3 linked regions of the Alligator mississippiensis genome follow. Each later gene encodes a partner of the first gene's protein in a complex. Links are inferred from orthologs where the notes say so. Each region holds a gene or a part of one and is shown on either strand. Other genes may lie near its edges.

Region 1 (7,630 bases):
CAGCTCTCTCAGTGGGCATGAAACCCAGGCGTCCCAGGGACCCCCCCTCACCCTGGTGGCGGGGGAGGGGGATGTCTCACCGAAGGTGGGCCGCACCTCGCAGGTCCGGCCTGGGCGCTCAGTGTCGAAGACCCTCACAGTCTTGTCAGAGCCACAGAAGAGCTGGGCCCCATCCGGGGTGAAGCAGAGCGAATGGGCGGCTGTCAGCTCGTCCTGGGGGGAGGGGGTGCATCAGGACACCTGGGGTCTCCCCCCAGCACTGCCAGGGGATGGAGGAGTGGAAGAAGGGGTGGGGCAGGGCCTGGATGCCTGGATTCTCACCCCAGGGCCACGCCAGGGGGTGGAGGTGGGGGTAGAGGCAGCCTGGACACCTCTGTTCCCTGCAGCTCTGGGGGAAAGTGAGATCTGGTGGGGGGGCTAAGGTGTAGGGAGCTGGGAGCCTAGACACGCAGGTACGCAAACACTCACCAGGTGGTTGTAGCAGCGGTATGTGGCCCGCAGCTCCCCACTGAAAGCATCCCACACGTGGATCGGGTTGTCCCGGCAGCTGCTGGCCACGCTGGGGGGTGGAGCAGACATGAGGGGAGGAGGCGGAGCCAGTTGCTGTCCCACCCCTGGGGGAAGAGCCTAAACCCCCAAGATGCAGCCAGCTCCAGGCAGAGCAGCCAAATGTAACCAGGCTCAAGGATTGGGGGGGGGGGGACGAGAAGGGGACAGCCAGGCCGAGTGCCCTGGCTAGGCAGGATCTGGCCCTGGGCAGGGCAGGACAACTCACAGGCAGGTGGACGGCTCAGCCGAGCTCATCAGCGGGAACCAGCAGTAGTCATAGATGGTGTCGCCCTCGGCCATGCACAGCACTGGGCTCTGGGGAGGAAGGGGGCGGCTCGGACACCTGGGTTCCCTCTGGCTCTGAGAGGGGGGTGGGGGCTGGGAGCCCAGACACCTGGGTTCCCTGTGGCCTGCAAAGAACAGGCTCCCAGATGCCTGGGTTCCCCGTGCCCCTCCAGGGAGGGCAATGAAGGGGCTGGAGGAGGGAGGGGATGGGAGCCCGGGCGCCTGGGTTCCCCCCCTCCCAGGCCCCACCATCTCAGCAGCAGGCCCCCCTGTGGGGCTGTACAGCTCGGGCGGCAGGTCATAGATGCGCAAGGTGTTGTCGGCGCTGTTGCTCAGCAGGCAGGAGCCGTCCGGAGCCCTGCAAGGGATGCACGTGCCAAAATCAGTTTCTCCTTTGTCTCCCAGCTGCCTCCCTGGGATGATGGGGGGGGATTTTGGGGTGCTGCCCCCTGCAGGTCAGGGCCTCCCTCTGACCCCAGCGCTGGACCCACCCCGCCCCGCCCCAAACCCCCTTCCCTTTCCCTCTGTGTATGTGTGTGGGGGGGTGTCTCACCACTTGCAGCCCTTGAGGAAGTTCTCAGGGACGTGGCCATACTCGGCCCAGGCGCCTGTCAGCAGCACAGGGGGGCGCCCAAAGTCATAGGCTGGCAGGCTGGGGGGGAGGCGGGGTATCAGGTGGAGCCAGGAGTCCAGACCCCTCCCCACTTTGACCCCCCCCCTCCCCCGGCCTGGGCAGAACCAGGTGTCCGGGCCCACCCCTCATACTCACTAATACTCCTCTTCTCCCGGCCCCGCCTCGGGCAGCCCCACCCCTGGCTCCGGCCCCTCCCCTGCATCCCCCAGGCAGGGGGTGTCAGGGGGTTCTGGGGGGACAGGAGCAGGCTCCCCCACAGCTCCAGAGTCTGGAGGTGCTTCTTCCATGGCAGTGGGGGTGTCAGATCCGGGGTGGGGCATGCCTGCCAGGAGAGGGGTCTGGAGAAGAGAGGCAGAGGTTTATGGAGGGCAGTGGGACCCAGGCATCCGGGTTCCCCCTCACCCCATTCACACCTGCTGGGGGGTAGATTGTCCCATTGCCCCGTGCGGGGGGCCAGGCTGGAGGATTCGGCTGTCCCAGTGCCCGGGGGGAGGGGCAGGTGGGGGGGCGGACTGTGCCATTACTCCAGGTTGGGGGAGTTAATGCGGGGGGGGGGACTTGAACTGATCTTGGTGGGGGGGTCAGGCTGGGGGGATGGACTGCCCATTGCTCTGGGGGATCAGGTCGGGGGGTGGGCTGCCCCTTTGCCCTGGGGCGGTCAGGGAGGGGGGTGCTGGAGTGTCCCATCACCTGCCCGGGCCTCCCGCAGAGACACGCGCTGCTCAGCAGCTGGAAGCCGCCATGACACCAACTCTCGCGAGAACTCGTGAACTCCAGCTCAAACCTCCCGCTCCCGCGTGAACTCGACGACCCATCTCGCGAGAGCCCTGCACCGGCCCTGACCTGTCGCGAGCGCTTCTTTGGCAAGATCTCGCGAGAATTTCGACCGGGGAGGTGCCGCGGCCGCTAAATCCCGCGGTCTTTCGGTGAGGGCCTCGCGCAACTTCGGTTCCAAGTCGTACCGCGCGAAATTTCGCGCTACCCTGGCCATCCTGCCTGAAAATGCCGCGAGATGTGGGCCCAATCTCACGAGATCTCGGCGGCTTGGCTGTATTTAAACCTTTCGTACGTCCCGTCAATAAGCCTCAGGCCCGGCCCAGCCAGTGCCCCTCACTCGCAACCCAAGGGCTTGAGGGACCCCGGGCTCTCGCCTTCCCCCCCCCCCCACCCCCTTTGTTACCCCCCCACCCGAGGTGGACCCCAGGCGCCCGGGCCCACCCCCGTTGCTACGGCGACAAGGAGCCTCAGGCCTCACGGAGATTTCGGGAGTGATGCCCTTGTTGCTACGGGGAGGAATCGGTGCTCGTTGGCGTGCCCGGGTGGTCGCAACGCCTCCTGCGCCCACCTGCCCCGGGCGCCTGGGTCCTTTTTCCCCACGTGTCCATGCGGCGTCCCGGACGCCTGGGGCCTTCCCCGTCTCGGCGCCACCGCCCGGATGCCTGGGTCCCTTCCCGCTGGTGGCGGCCGGCTCTGGACGCCTGGGTCCCACCGTCTCTCTCGGCGACGCCCGGGCTCCCTTTTGCGGGGCGCTGCCCGGGCGCCCGGGTCCCTCTAGAGCCGCACCAGGCCCAGGAAGGTGCCGTGGGGGGTGAGGTCCAGGGAGGCGTTGGCCCGGGGCACGGCCAGGCGCAGCCCCTCCCCCCGCTGCAGGTGGAAAGCACCTACGGGGCGAGAAGGGGCGGAGCCTCAGGGTGGGTCCCGGACCCCTCCCGAGCAGACGAAGGTGCCCCCGCCCCAACCCCCTCCTGGAGGCCCCGCCCACCTCCGCTGTAGCAGCTGTTGTAGGCCTGCTCCCGCTGCCCGGGCATGCTCTGGACGCAGCGCAGCAGGATCTGTCCCGGGCCCCGGCCCCCGGGGGGCAAACGCCAGAGCACCTGCCCCATGGTGAACGTGGGGTCGTGGAACAGCACCTGGGCAGAAGGGAGATGGTGAAGGGGGGCGTGCACGAGGGCGCGTGCACGAGGGCGCGTGCATGGGAGCAGGGCCCTACCTGGCTGTAGACGAGGTAGAGGCCCGCCTGGCGCACAGTGACGATGGAGCCGCTCAGCTCCAGGCCTTGGCCCTGCCGCAGCGCCGGCGCCCACCACAGCTCCGTCACGTCACCCTCAGCTGCGGGGACTGCGCTCAGCCCCAGCGTCCGGGGACCCCAACGCTCCCATCCCCTCCCAGAGAAGACCCAAGGGTGCAGGCCTATGTCCCTGCCCCCTCAGGGACCCAGGCATCCAGCCCCCACCTATCCCTATTGCCCCCCCCAGATGACCCAGGTGTCCGGGCCCCTATACCCCCATCCCCTCCTGGAGAATCGGGTATCTGGGCCCCCAATCACAACAGAAAACCCAGGTGTCTGCCTCCCCCGCCATGCCTCCATTGAAGCCCCCATCTGCTCCCAGAGAACCCAGGTGTCCGGGCTCCCAGGCCCCCCTGCTCCCACCCCATGCTGAGGAGCACCCAACACTCACCGTTGGTGGAGCAGTGGCTGGGGACCAGGTGCAGGGCCGTGCGTTGGCCTGGGAGGGGGGACAGACACCCCCTGAGGTCATAAACCCCCCCAACTCCCCCCCCATAGGATTGGGCCTGGGTCAGAGCCGAACTCACGGTGCTGGTGCCGTGGGCCGGGGGAGGGTGACGGCCTTTCGAGCTGCCTCCTGCTGCGGGGTGATACCTGGTGCGGATGGGAAGGGGTTAATGCCCCTTTGCACACCCCCACCACACCCGGGCCCCCAGAGCCCCACTCCAGCCCTGCACTGACCCCCCCCCCCAGCCCCCACTAGCTGGCCCCAGCAATGTGCATGTCTGTGTCCAGATCACCTGGGCTGTGCACGTGTGCGTGTGTCCTGGACACCTGGGGGGGCATCTGTCCCAGACACCAGGGTAGTGCATGCATATGGGTGTGTCCTGGGGGTGCTCATCTGTGTGCGTGCGCATGCTCTGGATGCCTGGGTCTTCTGCGGGGTCCTGTGTTCCCGGGGGGGGGGGGGGGGGGTGCTGTCCGGATGCCTCAGTTCCCTCCAGCTCGGGAGGGCTTTGGGCAGAGCCAGGACACCTGGGTTCCCTGACTGGCCTCCAGCCTCCCGCCCCCGGCGGGTGCTTTCCCCAGTCACTGCTTCCTGCTCCCTGGTTCCTCCTGGCCCTGGGCCAGGCCCTGGGGGAGGGTTAATGATTAACCCCCTGAAGATCTCCCCCCAGGGCCAGGCCACATGCATCTAAACCCCCTTGACCCCCCCCCAGACCAGCTCCCGGCAAGCACAAGGGACCAGGATGGGGCCAGGTAAGAGACCCCTGGAACCCCCCTGAGCTGGAGAAGGCCTGGGCGCCACCATCTCCCACAGCCCTGGTGTTGGCAGAGGACCCGAGCGTCTGAGCTGCCAGCACCCTCCCGGAGCAGGGAGAGGACCCAGGCATCCGGGCCCCCAGCCCCCCTCCTAGATCAGGGGGAGAACCCAGGCGTCAGGGCTCCCTGCAGCCCCCCCACATGACTGAGAGAGGACCCAGGAGTCCCGGCTCTCAGGGCTCCCTACTTTGACGCCCCTGACCCCACTTCCCCCCTCCCAGAGCAGAGAGCCAGGTGCCGGGGGTGGGGGGAGGTTCCTGGGCTCCCTGCAGCGAGAACCCAGATGTCAGAGGCTGGTGTGGGGGTCTCACCTGGGGGCGTCCGTAGGTCTTGGCCTCCAGCCGCTCCTGGAGCTGCTCCAGCTGTGCCCGCAGGGTGCCCACCTGCCTCTGCTGCATCCCCAGGGCTGCCAGGCAGGCCAGGACCCCCAGCACTGCCCCCCCTGCCAGCCATGGCGCCAGGGGGGGCCGCACCAACCCCCGTCCAGGGACCCCACTCATGAGGAGACCCCCTGCAAAAGGACCCAGGAGTCCAGGCCAGCCAGGTGTCCCTGCACCCTCCCCTTTTTAGAGCCCAGAGAGGACCCGGGCATCCAGGGCTCCCCGCCAGAGGACCCAGGCGTCCAGGGCTCTGTGGCCAGCGGGTGCAGGCCGTGGCCACCAAGTTGCAGGCGCCAGAGGCTCTTGCGCAAGGGGGCGGGGGGGGGGCAGGAAGCCGGGCCGGTGGCCAAGAGTATGCAGCGCCCAGCATGGGGGCGGGTGGCTGCCCCCACTACAAACTGGGAGAGAACCCAGGTGTCTGGGGTGCCAGTGGGGTGGGAGAAGCTGGGGGGGAGATGCAGCTGGCTCTGGGGTGGGTTGTGGATGGGTGTAACGGGAACCTCTTGTCCAGCATTGAGATGCAGCCAACTCTAGGGTGGGTCCTGGCTTCATAGAACAGGGACACGTAGGTTGGCACTGAGATTCATGCAGCTCTGGGGGTGGGTCATGGCTGGGTGTAACAGGGACCCCTTGTCCAGCACTGAGACGCAGCCACTTCTGGGGCGCATCATGACTGGATGTAACAGAGAACCCTAGGAGGGAACTGCAGCCAGCTCTGGGGTGCATCCTGGCTGCATAGAACAGACCCCTAAATTGACAGAGATGCAGCCAGCTCTGGGGTGGGTTATGGCTGAGTGTAACAGGAACCCCCAGGTTAGCACCAAGATGCAGCCAGCTCTGGGGTGGGCCTGGGCATAATGAGATCAGGCCCCGTTAGGTTCCTGGGAGGCTGAGGCCCGTACGCCCAACCCCAGCAGGGAGAGAACACAGGTGTCCAGGGCTTCCCAGCTCCTCCCCCTCCCTGCTCCCTTCCCCAAGCAGGAGGGGAGCCAGGAGTCCGGGCACCCAGTCTGCGGCCAAGCCTGTCACTGGTTCCACTGGTTTTATTTCTATTACAATAAATTTCTGTGTATAAAATTGTCAGGCCCCTCTCCCACCCTGGCCCCACCACATCAGGCTGGGGGAAGGGGCCAATGCGAGGCCCCACCCCCTCCCACCCGTGTGGGAGGTGCTCATTGGCTCCCAGCAGGGCCCTGCCCCGCCTTGCTCGGCTCAGCAAATGCAGCTGCTGCCACCCTAGCTTCCTATTGGCCGAGACAACCTGACCCTGACCGAGGGGAATTGAGATGCCCAACTTGGGGGAGCCCAGGCACCCTGGGACACCCTGACCTGGGGGAACCCGGGCATCCGGGTCCTGAGGTGCCCTGACCTAAGGGAACCCAGATGTCCAGGCTCGGAGATGCTTGCCCTGGGGAACCCAGGGACACCGTGCCCTGGGGGGACCCAGGCGTCCCAGCCCCATGGGACCCAGGCTTCTGGGCTTGGGAGGGGCCCAGCCTGGGCAAACCCAGGTGCCCAGGCTCAAGCTAGCGGAGCTGAAAGAGGCCCAGGTGGGTGAGGGAGGCGTCGGGCTTAAGACGCACACGGGGCACGGTGCCCAGGCGCAGGGTGGCACCGGAGGGCAGGCGCAGCAGCCCAGCCACACGACACCCGCGCAGCTGTGGCTCAGGGGGGCCTGCGCTGGGGGGGGGCAGCTGGTGCAGGCAGCGCAGTGCCGGCGCCACCCCCAACGCCAGCTCCAGCTTCACGTACACCCAGGCCGCCTCGTCGAAGTGCGCCTGCGGGGGGAGCGGGCATCAGAGGGACCCAAATGTCCGGGCCCCCGGCAGGGAGGGACCCCGGGAATCCAGGCCCCCGTGCCGGAGGGAACCCCAGTATCCGGCGCACCTGGGCATAGACATAGTAGAGGCCACCATGGGTGACTGTGAAGACGCCGCGTGCCTCGTCGTAGCGCAGGGGGCTACTCGCGTTCAGCCACGTCTCAGCCCAGCCCCGGATGGTCCCATCTGGCCCCGCTATGGGGGAGGGGGGGCAGCATGGGGTGAGGGGGAGCACAGGAACTGTGGGGCTGCCCAAGCTGGGAGAGAACCCAGGTGTCTGGGCTCCCCTGGCTGCCCACCCCATCCCAGTTACCTGTGTAGATCCCAGTCTGCCCATCAGCTGGTTGCACTGGAACAGAGAAACAAAGGGGGTCAGACAGAGCTTGGGGGATCAGGGGGGCTGGGAGCCCAGAGGCCTAAGTTCCTCCATCAAGAACCCCCCCCCTCACCTTTGTAGTGTGCTGCATACAGGGGCGTTGGCGTGGACTTGCGGGGACGCGGCCTCTTGCCCTTGGTCGCTGTGGGGAGCGGGGAGACATGAGCAGGGACTCCCCCGGCCTGGAGAGAACCCAGGGGTTCAGGCTCCCAGTGCCCCCACCCCGAAGCGGGGGCGCTAGACTCACCAGTCCGG
Region 2 (6,891 bases), on another chromosome or scaffold:
TGGGTGCCCCATGTCACAAGGGCACAGGGAGGGCCGTCACCTCCTCCAGACACTCTCCGTAAGCCTCTGCATACTCCTCGTTGGGCTTGATCATGATCACGCAGGTCGGACGCTTGGAGCCTGCAGCTGTTCCCAGATCCTGAACGAGGGAAGGAGGGAGATGCTGTGAGGTTGGCACCGGGCAGGCAGCCCCCATGTCCCTGGGGCCGGTGCAGGGGCTTCCTCCCCTCCACCAGGGCAGCACCGTACAGCCCAGCCCACGCCTCCGCCCCTCTCCTAACCTGAGCCCTCCCCCTGCCAAGGCTCTAATGCCCACCCTCCTCTCCCCGTGGCACCCCCAGCAGCACGATGCTGCCCCTAAGGGGAGCACTGACACTGCCCAGTGCCCTGGGCACAGCAGGGCCGCCACTCTACCACACAACACGGAAGAGCAGGAGGCCAGTAGCAGGCAATGCTGTCGTGGTGCCAGCTGCACTGTGACCATGCCAGCTCTGCAGGGAACCCGCTGCAACACAATTAGGGATCACCCAAGCGTGCTAGTTCATCTCAGCCTGTCTCCAGCCTCTAACAGACCCCACAGCTGCTCCCTTCTCCAGTGCTCCAAACACTGTTCCCACCACAGCAGTTTAATAGAGGTCTCCATGGGCAAAGCAGCTCCAACCACCTTGGCGGGAAGCATCTGTCTCAGCTGGAGACCAGCTCAGCTCCTGGCCTGAAGCAGGACGATACTGGGCACCCACCGCAGAAGCCCCCTTCACTGAAGAAGCCAAGTCACAGTACTAAACTGTAGCCATAACTTCCTGCAACAGGGAGCCCTGGAGCTAGGGGCAGCATGGAGCCATTTCATTCCTTGTAGCCATTGAAATATGTGGAGTTCTCTACTGCTGGTCGCCAAGGGCAGACAACAGGAGCTCAACCAGCTAAGAAGCGTCGTCTCCTCCACGTGTAAGTCTCAGCTGTGAACCTGCTGCCTTGCACAGGAGAGCAGCAGCAGCAGCAAGGACCTTGGGCTAGGCCCCAGGGCAAGTTTATTGCCACCAGAAAGGGGAAGGGATAGAATCCGAGAGAGCCTGGCCCAAGACTGCTCCGTGCTCTCCCAACCCCACAGGGATTGTTGTTTTCAGACCCCTCCCACCTGCCTTACCGTCTTGGAGGGGATGTAAGCATAGGGCAGGCTCCTGTCTTCACACATCACGGGGATGTGGCAGTACACTTCAATGGGCAGCGTGTCTCCAGCCAAGACCACAATCCTGAAACAGCAGAGAAAAGTTGTGGGCCAGGAAGGCAGCGAGAGCATGAGGAGAGCGGATGAGTGGGGGCGAGAGGGCTGGTGATGGATAGCATTTGGGGCTGGCACCACTGGTCCCCCAGCAGGGCGAGGCCAGGTTTGGGTCAGAGACAGAATCGGCACCAGTACGGGAGTCCTGCGCGCACAGCACCGAGTAACAAGTCTGGTCCCAGGTCCCCACACATATGGGCTGGACACTGATCCTCTCGTCTCCTGTATGCTGAGACAGCTGAGAGAACACGAAAGAGGCAGGATTTGTTTGGCGGCATCTTTTACTGCACCAGCTCTCCGGATGGAGACCAGACAAGCTTCCACGCACAAAGCATCCTTCTTCGGTCTGGGAATGAAGCAGCTTCAGCCTAAGCCAAGTAGCTGGTAAAGCAATGTCACAGAAGTGGTAAACCAAAGGGATGGGAATAATTTAGAGGGGAAGCAGGCAACAAGCAAAGTAGCTACCAGACCAAGCAAACAGCAGTGCTCACATACTTCGGTTCCTCTAGTCCAACTTTCTGCGTGGTCCATCCCCACTGCTGATAACCCACGGAGCAGAGGAGGTCACTGCCCGCTCCCTTTGGAAGTGACCATTTGTATTTAGTAGGGTTGGAAAGCTGTTGTCAGAGGCAGGCAGCTGCCCACGGTAGTCCGAAGTCAGGCAGGCAGATTTACACCTCAGACCAATTCTCTGAATGTGTTAGTGCACGTCCTTGAATGACAGTCTTCAAGAGTCTGCCCTGCCTTCTGCCCAAGTCGTAATGATGTGGCTCAGCTTAAAAAGGCCCTGACCTAGGCCCACCCCGCCCCCTTTACAGCGCTCGATGATGCTCACAGCACTGGCCACCGCAGCATTTCGCGGCTCCACAAGACGCAAGCAATCAACTGCCCCGTTCTGCTCGGTTACCTGATCCGAGCAGCAACCACCCACGCGTGCAAAGCAGAAACCTCCGACCAACTGTTTTACTCCGTCAGCGGCGGGGCAGCACCCACAGACGCGAGCGAGCACCGCGTTCCTGTAGTGAGCAGCTGTAGGTGAAGCACCTACCTATCTGCACACAGCCGTTCCTCAGCTTTCACACCTGGGCTTTGTGAAATCCCTCTCTTCACGGTAAGTGCCAAGCCGCTGTTCTGTTACAAGGCAGCAGGCACCAGTCAAACACCTGAACGCTGCTAGGCACGGTCAGCAGCCGTCGGTTCCAACTCCTGCGAGCAACGGACCGGGCCGAACAAAAGCGACTGTTCTTCCTCGTACGCGGCTGCGCCAGCTTCTCTTCCTCTCCCAGACCCTTGCGTCGGGAAGCCTGCCGCAGCCCCCGCGCAGGTGGCGCAAGGAGCCGCCCCTCGGCGCTGCACGCGCTCGCCCCGCCCCGCCCCGCTCGGGTCTTACCCCTTCTCGCCCTTGTTGATGAACTTCTGCACCTCCTTCACCCCGCGCCGGATCTGCTTGTGCTTCGCGGCTGCACGAGAGAGACAACGTCAACGCCGGTTCCGCGCGGGCCCCGCTCCCCACGTGCGCCCCGCCCCGCCCCGCCCCACCTTTCTTGATGCACTTGTACAGCTTGCGCGTGAGCTTGCGCGACGCGAGCGGCTGCGCGATGGGGTTCAGGTTCGCCAGCTGCTCCCGGTACGTGCGCTCCGGGCCGCCCTCCGGCTCCGCCAGCGCCTCCGACTCCAGCTCCCGACCCATCTCCGCGCCGGCCACGTGCCGCGCCGCCGCGCGCTTCCGCTTCCGGGTCCGCGCGGCCCCCCGGGAAGGGCCGCGGCCCGCCAATCGCGCCCCCCGCCCGCAGGCCCCGCCCAATCAGAGGCGCCCGCCGCCCCGCCCCGCCCCGCCCCACCCCGAACAGACCACTCCGGGGCGGGCGGCCGAGCGAAGCGCCTTTATTTGGGGGGGGGGGGGGGGGTCGCGTCCGCCGCGCTCAGCACCTGCGGGCGGGACAGGCGGCGTCAGGCCGGCGGGAGGAGGGCGCCGCCCCCGCCTTCCTCCTCCCCGCTCCCGCTCCCGGGTCGCTGGAGCCTGGCGGGCCTGGCCCAGGAGAGCCCCGGCCCCGGCCCCGGCCCCGGCACAGCGCCCCAGGAATGCCCAAGCAGACGGGGCTTGCTTCTGGCGGGGCCAGGGCCCCGGACCGCGCGCCGCTGCTTACCGCTCAAAACAGCCTGTCCGCGGAGCACAGGAGGGCCTCGCCCAGCATCTGCAGCTGCTGCAAGACCTCCTGCTGCATGGCCAGGGCCGTGCGGTGCACGTGGTGGTCGGAGCTGTTGTACATGACGGCGTTGTGGAACATCAGCATGAGGTCGCGCTGGAACTGGGCCGTGCTCCGGATGTGGCCCTTGGACACACTTCTCTTTATGGTGGTTAAATCCATGGGTCTGCAGGAGGAGACCCCATCAAGTATCACAACACAGGGCCCCCCAGCCCCGACACCGCCGCCTCAGGCCTGGCGCCCCGTGACCCTGCACGCGCAGCAGTTCTCAACCCAGCTCTCAAGTCGGGAACCTCAAAAACCAGGAGGGTTTCGCCTTGTGACAGATACCTGCCACCCAAGCACTGTGCACTGGCAACTGCTTCTAAAACCTGAGCAGTACTGAGCACCAGACAAAGCAGCAACCTGAACAACTAGTTACATCAGCCCACACTGAGGGAAAATGAAACAGTAGTAAAAAAGATCTTAGGAACTAGGATCTACAGTGTGCATACAACACGGAGCTCTCGGGGCAATAATGCACCGCCAGGAGCAATGAACGGTCTTGGGGGCGGGGGAGACCGGGCAGCGGGGAAAGCTGTAGCCGAGCGCGCGTCGCTCGGTGAGCTGCTGGGGCTGGGGCTCAGGTTCCTGCCGCAGACCACACAGCCCCGTCCCCCAGGGGAAGCGGCCGATTCCTGAGGGGTTCGCAAGTCAGGAACATAACAGTCGCCAAACACCTAAGGGTGCAGATGTGAAGGATGGAGTCAGAGGAGTCCATGTGGCTGTTAGGGGCATGTTATAAATAAGGAAACTGGGTCTTTGGGACAAAACTCCCCTCGGGAGAGCGGGGCTGGGCAGGGTGGAAGCCCCGTAACGCAGGGCTAACCCCAGGAGTGTAAGCCACCGAGGGCCTTCCCGCCCCAGTCTGAGGGGGCAGGTACCCTGTGACAAGCCTGGGGCAGGTTTCCTAACCCAGCCGCCTTGGACTTTCTCTCTCTGGCAGCTGGATCCAATGAGGCCAGAGAAAGCAGGTGGAAAGGGTCTCAAGCAGCTCTCCTGCCTTCTCCCAACTGACCTTTTCACCACATCCTTGTACCCAGGGGCTTGCTTGTCTGACACTGGCTTCAGGAACGGGCCGCTGTATCTAGGGGACAAGCCCAAAGAGAATGAGGCGAGATCCAGGTCTGCCCTGGCTGGCAGCTGACTCCCAAAGAGGGAGTGGGCTGTGGGCAGTGACACACCGTTGCTTGAATGGGCTCATCTGCCTGCCAGTGGCCCCTGGTTACAGTGGCTGGTGCAGCCAGCACCAGCAGAGGAAAGTCTGAGACCCTGCTGGGGCTGGCTGAAGCCAGACTTAGCCCTCCACATCCTGCACAGACCAGCGGCTGCCAAACAAAGTAATAAGAATGGAGGTGCAAGGCCAGAGCCCTGGAGCAAGGACCCCTTCCTGCTGCAAGGTAGGCAACATGAGAGAGGAATGCAGGAGAAACAGCTGGATTGCTGGTGCCTTCAAGCAAGAGGGGGTGCTGATGGCACTGGGGAGCCAGGGAGAGCATGGACCCACCCCACCACACCCTCCATACACACCTGTGACTGGCTATCATCTTCCAGATGGACAGCAGAGTCTTTTTGAAATGCATGCGCTGCAGAGGGTCATCCCAGCTCAGCTGCACCCTGCACAAGACACCACCCAGTCAGCATGCCTGGAGGGTCAGGGAGAGGCCTACACTGCTAACCTCCCACCCACCATGTGTGGCCAGAGATGTACAGGGCAGGTGCCCCTTGGGGCAGCATTTCCCAGTGCACTCCTTCCTGAAGTCTCTTTGGAGACCCTCCCTTAGGATTTACCTGTGCCCATGACCCAAGTCTACCCTGTCTGGGACCACCTCTCTGGCTGCTGAGCCAGAAGGCATCAGAACCAGGAGAACAGTCGCTGCACTCTGGCAGGAGACTTTTGAACAGGGTCTGTCTTCTCTCTCTGTTGGGAGTGAAGGGTGTCCTCATTTCTGCTGCACCTTTCTTGGTTCATCTCCTGACCCTCCTCACCCACACACCACCCAAGGGAGAATCTGCAAATGAATGGCCTGTTTCTTGAAGAGCATTTGGGTCCCAGTGCAGGGAGTGGGGAGGCCGGCCCCACTGCTCAGTGTACCATATGCTCCCCTCAAGGACAGTGCTGGCAGGCTGCCTGCAGGACTGCCTGGCAGAGCAGGTCCCCAGCTCAGGCTAGGCCATGGTCACTTTGTCCCCACTCCCCTTTTGCTGCACCTGCAGTAGAACCAACACCCAAAGGTCGGAAGCCCATCACCAGCAGCGACCGGGGCCATCTCTTCCTCCACTTTCTGCTGGCTTGCCACCCTCCCCAAAGTGACCTGCCCCCTGCCAATCCCTGGCTTGGCCTCACATAGACAGCTCCAGTGAAGGCGCCACAGGGCTGCACTACTCACAGCTGCGAAGGTGCTGGGTTCATGTGTATAACATCTGCCGGGGAACCCGCGGAGGTTCTGCAGCCGCTATCTCCTTGTGCAGGGAATACAGTGTTCCCCTGCCTCTCCTGCTGGGCTTGTCCTGGCCCCTCCTCCTCAGCCTTGCCCTGGAGGACAGACAGAGAGGAGTGGCTGCTCAAAGCCAGGGTCTCAATGACAAGGTTGCTGGAAAAGCCCCATCCAGAGGTGGCACTTGCAGGAGCCAACCTTCAAATCCTGGTCCCCAATCTCCAGGAAGTGGGTGTAGCAAGTGGGTACACAAGGAGCCCCCCAGTCCTGTCTGAGGTGCCGTAAGTTGTGCCATGAGCCACAGGTCTCACTGTGGATCTGAGAGTCACCTTCAGTCTCCAGTGGGGATCGACAGCCCACCACTAGCATTACGAGGGAGGCTGTGGACACGCCGCAGGTAGAGACCGGGAGGAGACAGCAGAGTAACAGAGAAAGCTGGGAGAATGCAGACAGAGGATGGAATGTGCTTGTTCCCTCACAAGCTCCTTGTGACAGAGCAACAGTGAATGGAGCCTGCCAGGGGGTGCTGAGCAGTGCTGCTGCAACAGCCACTTCTCCGTGGAGCACAGGGACCATGGCTGTGTAGGACAACCCTTCTGCCTGGATGGCAAGCAGCACTGAGAGAAGAGAGAGCTTCCCAGTGTCCAGGACAGGGAACTGCCTAGGGCAAGTGGGTAAAGAAAGCCCCAGAAAGTGGAGGAAATTTGTTCTGCAGGACTTTGAAAACTGGGTGGGTTCTAATGCTCCACGGTCCAAGACAAGGCTGCCCTGGCTCTGTAGAAGCAGGGGAGCCCCACAGGAATTTTTCGTCCCTAATGTCTGATTCTGTGACACGCTAAAGCAAAGAGCCTGGCCCCAGGGAGCAAGGGATTGTCCTGCTGTATCATCGCTGTTACTCAGGGTATGGTACTACCTAGAGGGGTGCCAC
Region 3 (5,472 bases), on another chromosome or scaffold:
AGGGTGCATCGAGTCCAGTGAGGGGTGACTTGAGTTCAGCAGGGTTGAGAAGCCTTGACGTAAAAGATATACAAAGCTGTGAATTCATGCCAACACCCCCACCCCTGTAAAAATGTACAAGGTCTGTGCAAAAATGTGCAAAAGTTCTATGTCTGTACAATAATAATGAATCTTGCAAAATACTAGCAAAAGGAGAGGGGACCAAATCCATCAGAGAGATAATGGCTCTGCCCACTGGCTCCCTTACTGGTGGTAAGGGACAGGTTTCCATGTCTGTACTGGTGGGCTGGGAGGGCAGAATACCTTGTTGGTTGGTACCAGAGGCAGGGACTGCAAGGGGCATGATGGGCTCAGCAGGGGGGGCCTGGAACTGGGAGTTACTCAGGAGCTTCATCTTTTGGATCTGTAGCTCCTCTTCTGCCTCAAACTCCATAAACCTGAGGAAGAGAGACAGAGTCTAAAAAGGGTGGCATTGTCTGAGTCCCTCTGCCCCAAGGTGCCAGAAGCAGGAAACCTGGGACAGACTCTAGAAGAGCCCCACTAACTTCTCAGCCATCTCATAGAAGATCATGCGCTCAAAGTTGCTGCTGTGCTCCCACTCTTGCACAGCACGTGGCACGCCCTCCTCCAGAGTCATGTCAGGGCGCAGGCGAGTCAGGGAGCGCAGGACGGGGCTGAAGAGGGAGGAAGAGGGTTAATGCCAGAGAATGCCCCTCATCCTGAAACACAAACCCCTTGCAAGCTCCTTTAAGGCAAACAGCTTTGCCAGTGCCCCTCAATCTTAACCCACAGGCCCTCTGCTTTCCCAGCCCTGGTCTCCCTCCATCTCTCACATGAAGAAACAGGCCAGTGCTTCTGCATCGGGTGTGTTTGGGAAATGTTGCCTTGCCAAGGCTTTGTAGTGCTGCCAGCGCCGAAAGTTCTCATAGACCCCTTTGGAAGTGCAGGCTGAGGAGGAGTCACTGGGAGGAAGTGGCTGCGTTGGGGCACCTTCCGACTCCCCCGTTTTCCTCACTCTGGGCTCCTCCCCAGCTTTTGTCAGCAGAATGGTCCTGATCCCAGCTCCAAATTGAAGTCGAATAGGGGTCCCATCCTGCCGTGGGGGGACCCAATCTGCAGGAGCCGCTGTAAGGATGATAGTCTGCCCACAGGGGGCCTCCTGGGTCCCCTCCTCCTTCAATTTGACAATCAATTTGCCATTGGGAGCATCTGGTGAGGTCAGGAGCAGAGCAGTGCCAGGGAAGGCAGGAAGCAGGATTGGGGATGGTGGGGGAGGCTGTTGGGATTGGGAGCTCATAGCTGAAAGTGCATGGGTATTGAGAATCAGAGAAAGATGGGGAAGAAATGGGGCTCCTTTCTCTCCTCCGTCTTTTAGGGGGGATGGCAGGATAGGGTGTGCAGGAGTGTCAGCTGCACCAGCTCAAGAGCAAGTCTGGGAAAGATCAAGGCTGTCCCAGGTTGGTGTCCCAGCAATAAGGTTGAATCAAAACAAATCCGGAACCTGGAGGCCTCAGGGGTTCTGAGCTGGGTGTGGAACGAGAGTGGGTGTTGAGAACCACGCAAAGGTGGGCAGGGAATGCAGGTCCTTTGTGTGCAGGGGGGGATGACATGGTGGAGTGTACAGGGGCGTCAGGGGCACCAGCTAAGGAGTAAGTCTGAGAAGGATCAAGGCTATCCCAGGTTGGTATCCCAGGTCCCAGCAGGAAGGTTGAATCAAAACAAATCTGGAATCTGGGGGTATGCGGGTTCTGAGTCGGGCGTGGTGTGCGCAGTCAGAGACTAATCGCAGTTCTTCCCTCCTCTCCAAGCTCTGTAGATGCCCCAGTCCCATCCTGGAGGCCCTCTGCCCTTCCAGGCATGGGCTTCACACATTCCCAGGTGTGCCAGGGCTCCTCACCGCTAACCAGCTTTGCACTCCCCATACACAAAGAACTCTCAGTCCCTCACTCCAGGGTTTTTAGGAACAATGTAGGAATAACCAAGATGCTCCCCAAATTGCATTCAATGGTTCAATTTAGGGTACGCTAAAGCAAAATGGCTGAATGGAAATGGCAGTATCAAAATCATTACTGGCAGGCAACCAGGGTTTAGGAGGCTACAACTCCTGTGTTGCACTAGGGTATTAGAGATTTACAACTGTATTAGGGAATTGTAAAAAGCAGGCTTATTCACATGGCTTTGTCCCCTCCAAGAATGAATCATGGCCTGAAAACAACTCCCAAAACAGGTGGGTAGCAGAATCTACAGCTGCCATCCAACGTTGAACAAGAACCTACATGCCCTAGGGTACACGGGGGACTTGAGAGGCTGCAATTCTCAGACTGCAGGGGCACAGCTGAGCCATTGAAAGTCCTGGAGCATTTAGGGAGTCAACATGAGGAAAAAGCCTCAGGTTTCCGGACTAGAGAGCAAAGTGTGGAGCCAGAGCGCATGCATTTTAGGAGATGAAACTGCACATGGAAGATATCGAATTTTGCCATTTGAACTGGAAACTTCACAACATGAAGAAAAAAGAAGCTAACCTCAACAGCGACATCTAATTTATATTCTCACTGACCTCCTGTTGCACTTTTAGCTTTTTTCATTCCTTAGAGATCTCAGAACAACAGCTGAGTCTCCCTATGCCTGAAGAAGGGTGATTGCGCCCAGAAGCTTGCAAAGAACTTTTTTCTAACTACTCAGTCTTTTATCTAATAAAAGACATCACATTGACCCAAAGAACCTTGCCTGCCCAGGTCCTTGAACAGGCAAGGCTCTTTGGGTAGATTTGATATCTTTTATTACACCAACTGAGTAGTTGGGGAAAAGTTCATTGCAAGCTTTCAGGTGCAATCACCCTTCTTCAGGCATAGGAAGTCTCTGCTGTTCTGAGACTCCAAGAAATGAGAGAAGCTAGAAGTGTGGCGGGATGTCAGTGAGAACGTAAATAGGTAGAAATCAGGAAAATAAAAGGTAAAGCAGGGAAGGGTGGGGGGAGGGGGGCAAAGGTGAGTAAGGGGGTGTAGGTTGTAGCCATGTTGGTCTAAGGACGCAGGCAGACAAGGTTCTTTGGGTAAATCTGATATCTTTTATTAGACCAGCTCAAATAGTTGGAGACATGGGCGACTGGTGCCACCTTTGTGGAGGGGGGGCACGTGCCCCACCCTACGACCAGTCCTACCAACTTGGGGTGGGGGAGGAGTCCCCCCTCCACAAAGGTGATCTCGCTACCGGGGGGGCCCCCGGAGCCGTTCCTGTGATGGCCGATCGCTGTGCTGCAGCCTGCAGCAATTGGCTGGTGCTTTCAGGGGGGTACCTGCTCTCCGGCCTGCCCCCACACCCATCACTGAAGTGGTGAGCACAGCCTGTCAGAGGGTGCACCTGCGCTCTCGGGGGGGCACGTGCACCCCCATGCACCCTCTACCTGTCTGTCACCACTGACTGGAAAAATTCTTCTTTGCAAGCTTTCAGGTTTACCCTTGGCCAGGCTGAGGAAGCATCTGCAGTTGGTGTGTGCTCTTCCTGGATGGAAGCAATAGTAAAGGAGCCAAAGGGGAATAAGGGAGACTGCAGTCATACAAGGCAGAAAAGAGGCTGTCTGTACAAAAGGAAAGAGCTGGAAATTTGGAAGACAAAGGGCAGGACCCGCCTAGCTCCTTAGACCAACACGGCTACAACCAAGACCTCAGGCCCTGGAGAAACCCTCGGCAAGCAGATCAAGTCCCGCGTTTGGAGGACCTGCAGCTTGGTTTGGCGTGTTCATTTCCTGGCCAAGCACAACGTATTTCCAGAGGCTGAGGCAGAAACGGGGCGCTGGGCGGGCTGCCCGGGACCGGCGTCTCCTACAAGTCCCAGAGTGCCCGGGGAGGGGAAGGAGAGGCGGCCGCAGCTCCCGCCCCCCCCGTGCGCCGGGGCGGTCCCCGCTGGCAGTCGCGGGAGCGGGCGCGCTGGGAGCACGTGTGCGGCTGCGATCTGGGGCCGGGTCGGAGCCGGAGCCATGTTCCTGCAGTACTATCTCAACGAGCAGGGGGACCGGGTGTACACCCTCAAGGTGAGCCCCTGCCGCAGCCCCGGGACCTTTCTCGCCTTCCCTTATCTGCCCCAAGATCTCTTCCAGCCTCCCGCGCACGTCCTGTGCAGCCGGGGCCGTGTGTCGCTCTGCCCCTGGGTGCAGGTTTGCATCCCCCTGGTCGGGGGAGGCAGGCAGTGGGACAGCCCAGGGCAGGTGGGGCAGGGGGGTTGTGCCCCAGGGCTGGGGTGGGACCTGGGGGTCAGGATTGAGTAGTCATGGCAGAGTTGTGCCCGTGGAGCTCAGGGCTTGGGGGGGCAGCGAGTTGGGGGTTGAGTGACATGCCCTCGCCACCTGGGTGGAGGCTCAGAGCTGGGAGAGGAGGTGGCAGTGAGTGAAGCACAAAAGTGGAGCCGTGGGGGGTGGGGACGTCAGGGTGGCCAGACTTGGGTATTTGTATTTTAGGACCCAGTTGCCGTGACCTGGTATGATATCATCTCTTTCCATTTCCTTCCCTGTAGAAAGTAAGCCCCTCTGGCCAAGTGACTTCCTCTGCACATCCTGCCCGCTTCTCCCCAGATGACAAATACTCCCGCCACCGGGTCACCATCAAGAAGCGCTTTGGCGTCCTCATGACACAGCAGCCGCGGCCCATTATGTGAGGGCAGGCCTTTTCCCAGCTGGAAGCACAGAAACGTGCCCCTGACTGCCCTGAAATGGGACAGTCCTGCTCAGCTGAAGCTGGCTCAGTGGCTCCCTCTGCACCAACTCATCTTCCACTCCTTTGTTTATCCCTCTCCTTGTGATCTGACTGCTGATCCTAAACACATCCTAAAACCTTTCCCCATTCTCCTCTTGTCTGTGGAAAAACTGCTTTGATTCCCCTTTTGATCAAGCCAGAGTTAATCACTGTAGTTGAAAACATGGTTTGTCTTTTGATTGCCAATAAATTATCTGATGTTTATTTCTACCCTTAGCCCAGACTCTCCTTCCCTGCTGAGCTTTTAACCCTCTAGTAGTGGTGAAGCTGTACTCATTTGTTTCATGCTGTGCAGATGTTCATGTTGTGTTAGGAACTTAAGCATAACAAGGGAAGGTTTCTGACTAAGCTTTCATTGTTTTAGTAGGGAAGCATATTCATCATATTAGAAATGTGAGATGGCCTTTATTAGATGTGGGGGAAAGCTGCATTCAGGGTCTGATATGGGATCAGGTGGTTGGGCCGCATGGCAGGAAAGGTGGGGAAGATTCTACAAAGTGAAAGAGAGGAGACTGCAAGCTTGATGGAAGAGAATAAGCTTGAGTCTCTGCTGCTCAATTTGAGAGGGAAAGATACTGAATGCTAGTATCCCAGCACTGCACCACTCAGCTGCTTAGCTTGGCATTCAGGACTGGCATCAGTAGTGTAACTAAAGCACCCACTTAAGGAGTGCAGAAATAATACTTACCACAGATGCTGGCCCGCCATGCCACCAGCAGCCTAG

Evidence for each region. Proteins that work in one complex are often made in the same cells at the same time.
Region 2: WRAP53 (region 1) and NHP2 share a complex: the UniProt entries of both Homo sapiens proteins name them as parts of the telomerase holoenzyme complex. The link is inferred for Alligator mississippiensis from reciprocal best matches to the Homo sapiens genes WRAP53 and NHP2.
Region 3: WRAP53 (region 1) and NOP10 share a complex: the UniProt entries of both Homo sapiens proteins name them as parts of the telomerase holoenzyme complex. The link is inferred for Alligator mississippiensis from reciprocal best matches to the Homo sapiens genes WRAP53 and NOP10.

What each region holds. Positions count from the first base shown.
Region 1 is NC_081838.1:24,752,254-24,759,883, reverse strand, and holds the start of WRAP53 (telomerase Cajal body protein 1), read right to left. Parts: upstream 3,005-7,630; 5' UTR 2,814-3,004; exon of another isoform or gene 2,725-2,813; intron 1,807-2,724; 5' UTR 1,789-1,806; coding exon 1,604-1,788; intron 1,487-1,603; coding exon 1,388-1,486; intron 1,193-1,387; coding exon 1,084-1,192; intron 865-1,083; coding exon 776-864; intron 560-775; coding exon 469-559; intron 214-468; coding exon 81-213; intron 1-80. Other genes in the region: tumor necrosis factor, read right to left, coding at 3,020-3,129, 3,231-3,378, 3,459-3,577, 3,928-3,975, 4,064-4,130, 7,067-7,194, 7,313-7,348, 7,449-7,517 and 1 more. UniProt on the Homo sapiens protein: RNA chaperone that plays a key role in telomere maintenance and RNA localization to Cajal bodies. Specifically recognizes and binds the Cajal body box (CAB box) present in both small Cajal body RNAs (scaRNAs) and telomerase RNA template component (TERC).
Region 2 is NC_081832.1:79,494,965-79,501,855, forward strand, and holds the start of NHP2 (H/ACA ribonucleoprotein complex subunit 2), read right to left. Parts: upstream 3,015-6,891; 5' UTR 2,970-3,014; coding exon 2,819-2,969; intron 2,740-2,818; coding exon 2,670-2,739; intron 1,251-2,669; coding exon 1,145-1,250; intron 140-1,144; coding exon 14-139; 3' UTR 1-13. Other genes in the region: bromodomain-containing protein 8-like, read right to left, coding at 3,430-3,652, 4,544-4,612, 5,056-5,142, 5,916-6,061. UniProt on the Homo sapiens protein: Required for ribosome biogenesis and telomere maintenance. Part of the H/ACA small nucleolar ribonucleoprotein (H/ACA snoRNP) complex, which catalyzes pseudouridylation of rRNA.
Region 3 is NC_081830.1:36,381,554-36,387,025, forward strand, and holds NOP10 (H/ACA ribonucleoprotein complex subunit 3), read left to right. Parts: upstream 1-3,899; 5' UTR 3,900-3,976; coding exon 3,977-4,030; intron 4,031-4,509; coding exon 4,510-4,650; 3' UTR 4,651-4,958; downstream 4,959-5,472. Other genes in the region: uncharacterized protein LOC102563792, read right to left, coding at 304-437, 546-674, 834-1,297. UniProt on the Homo sapiens protein: Required for ribosome biogenesis and telomere maintenance. Part of the H/ACA small nucleolar ribonucleoprotein (H/ACA snoRNP) complex, which catalyzes pseudouridylation of rRNA.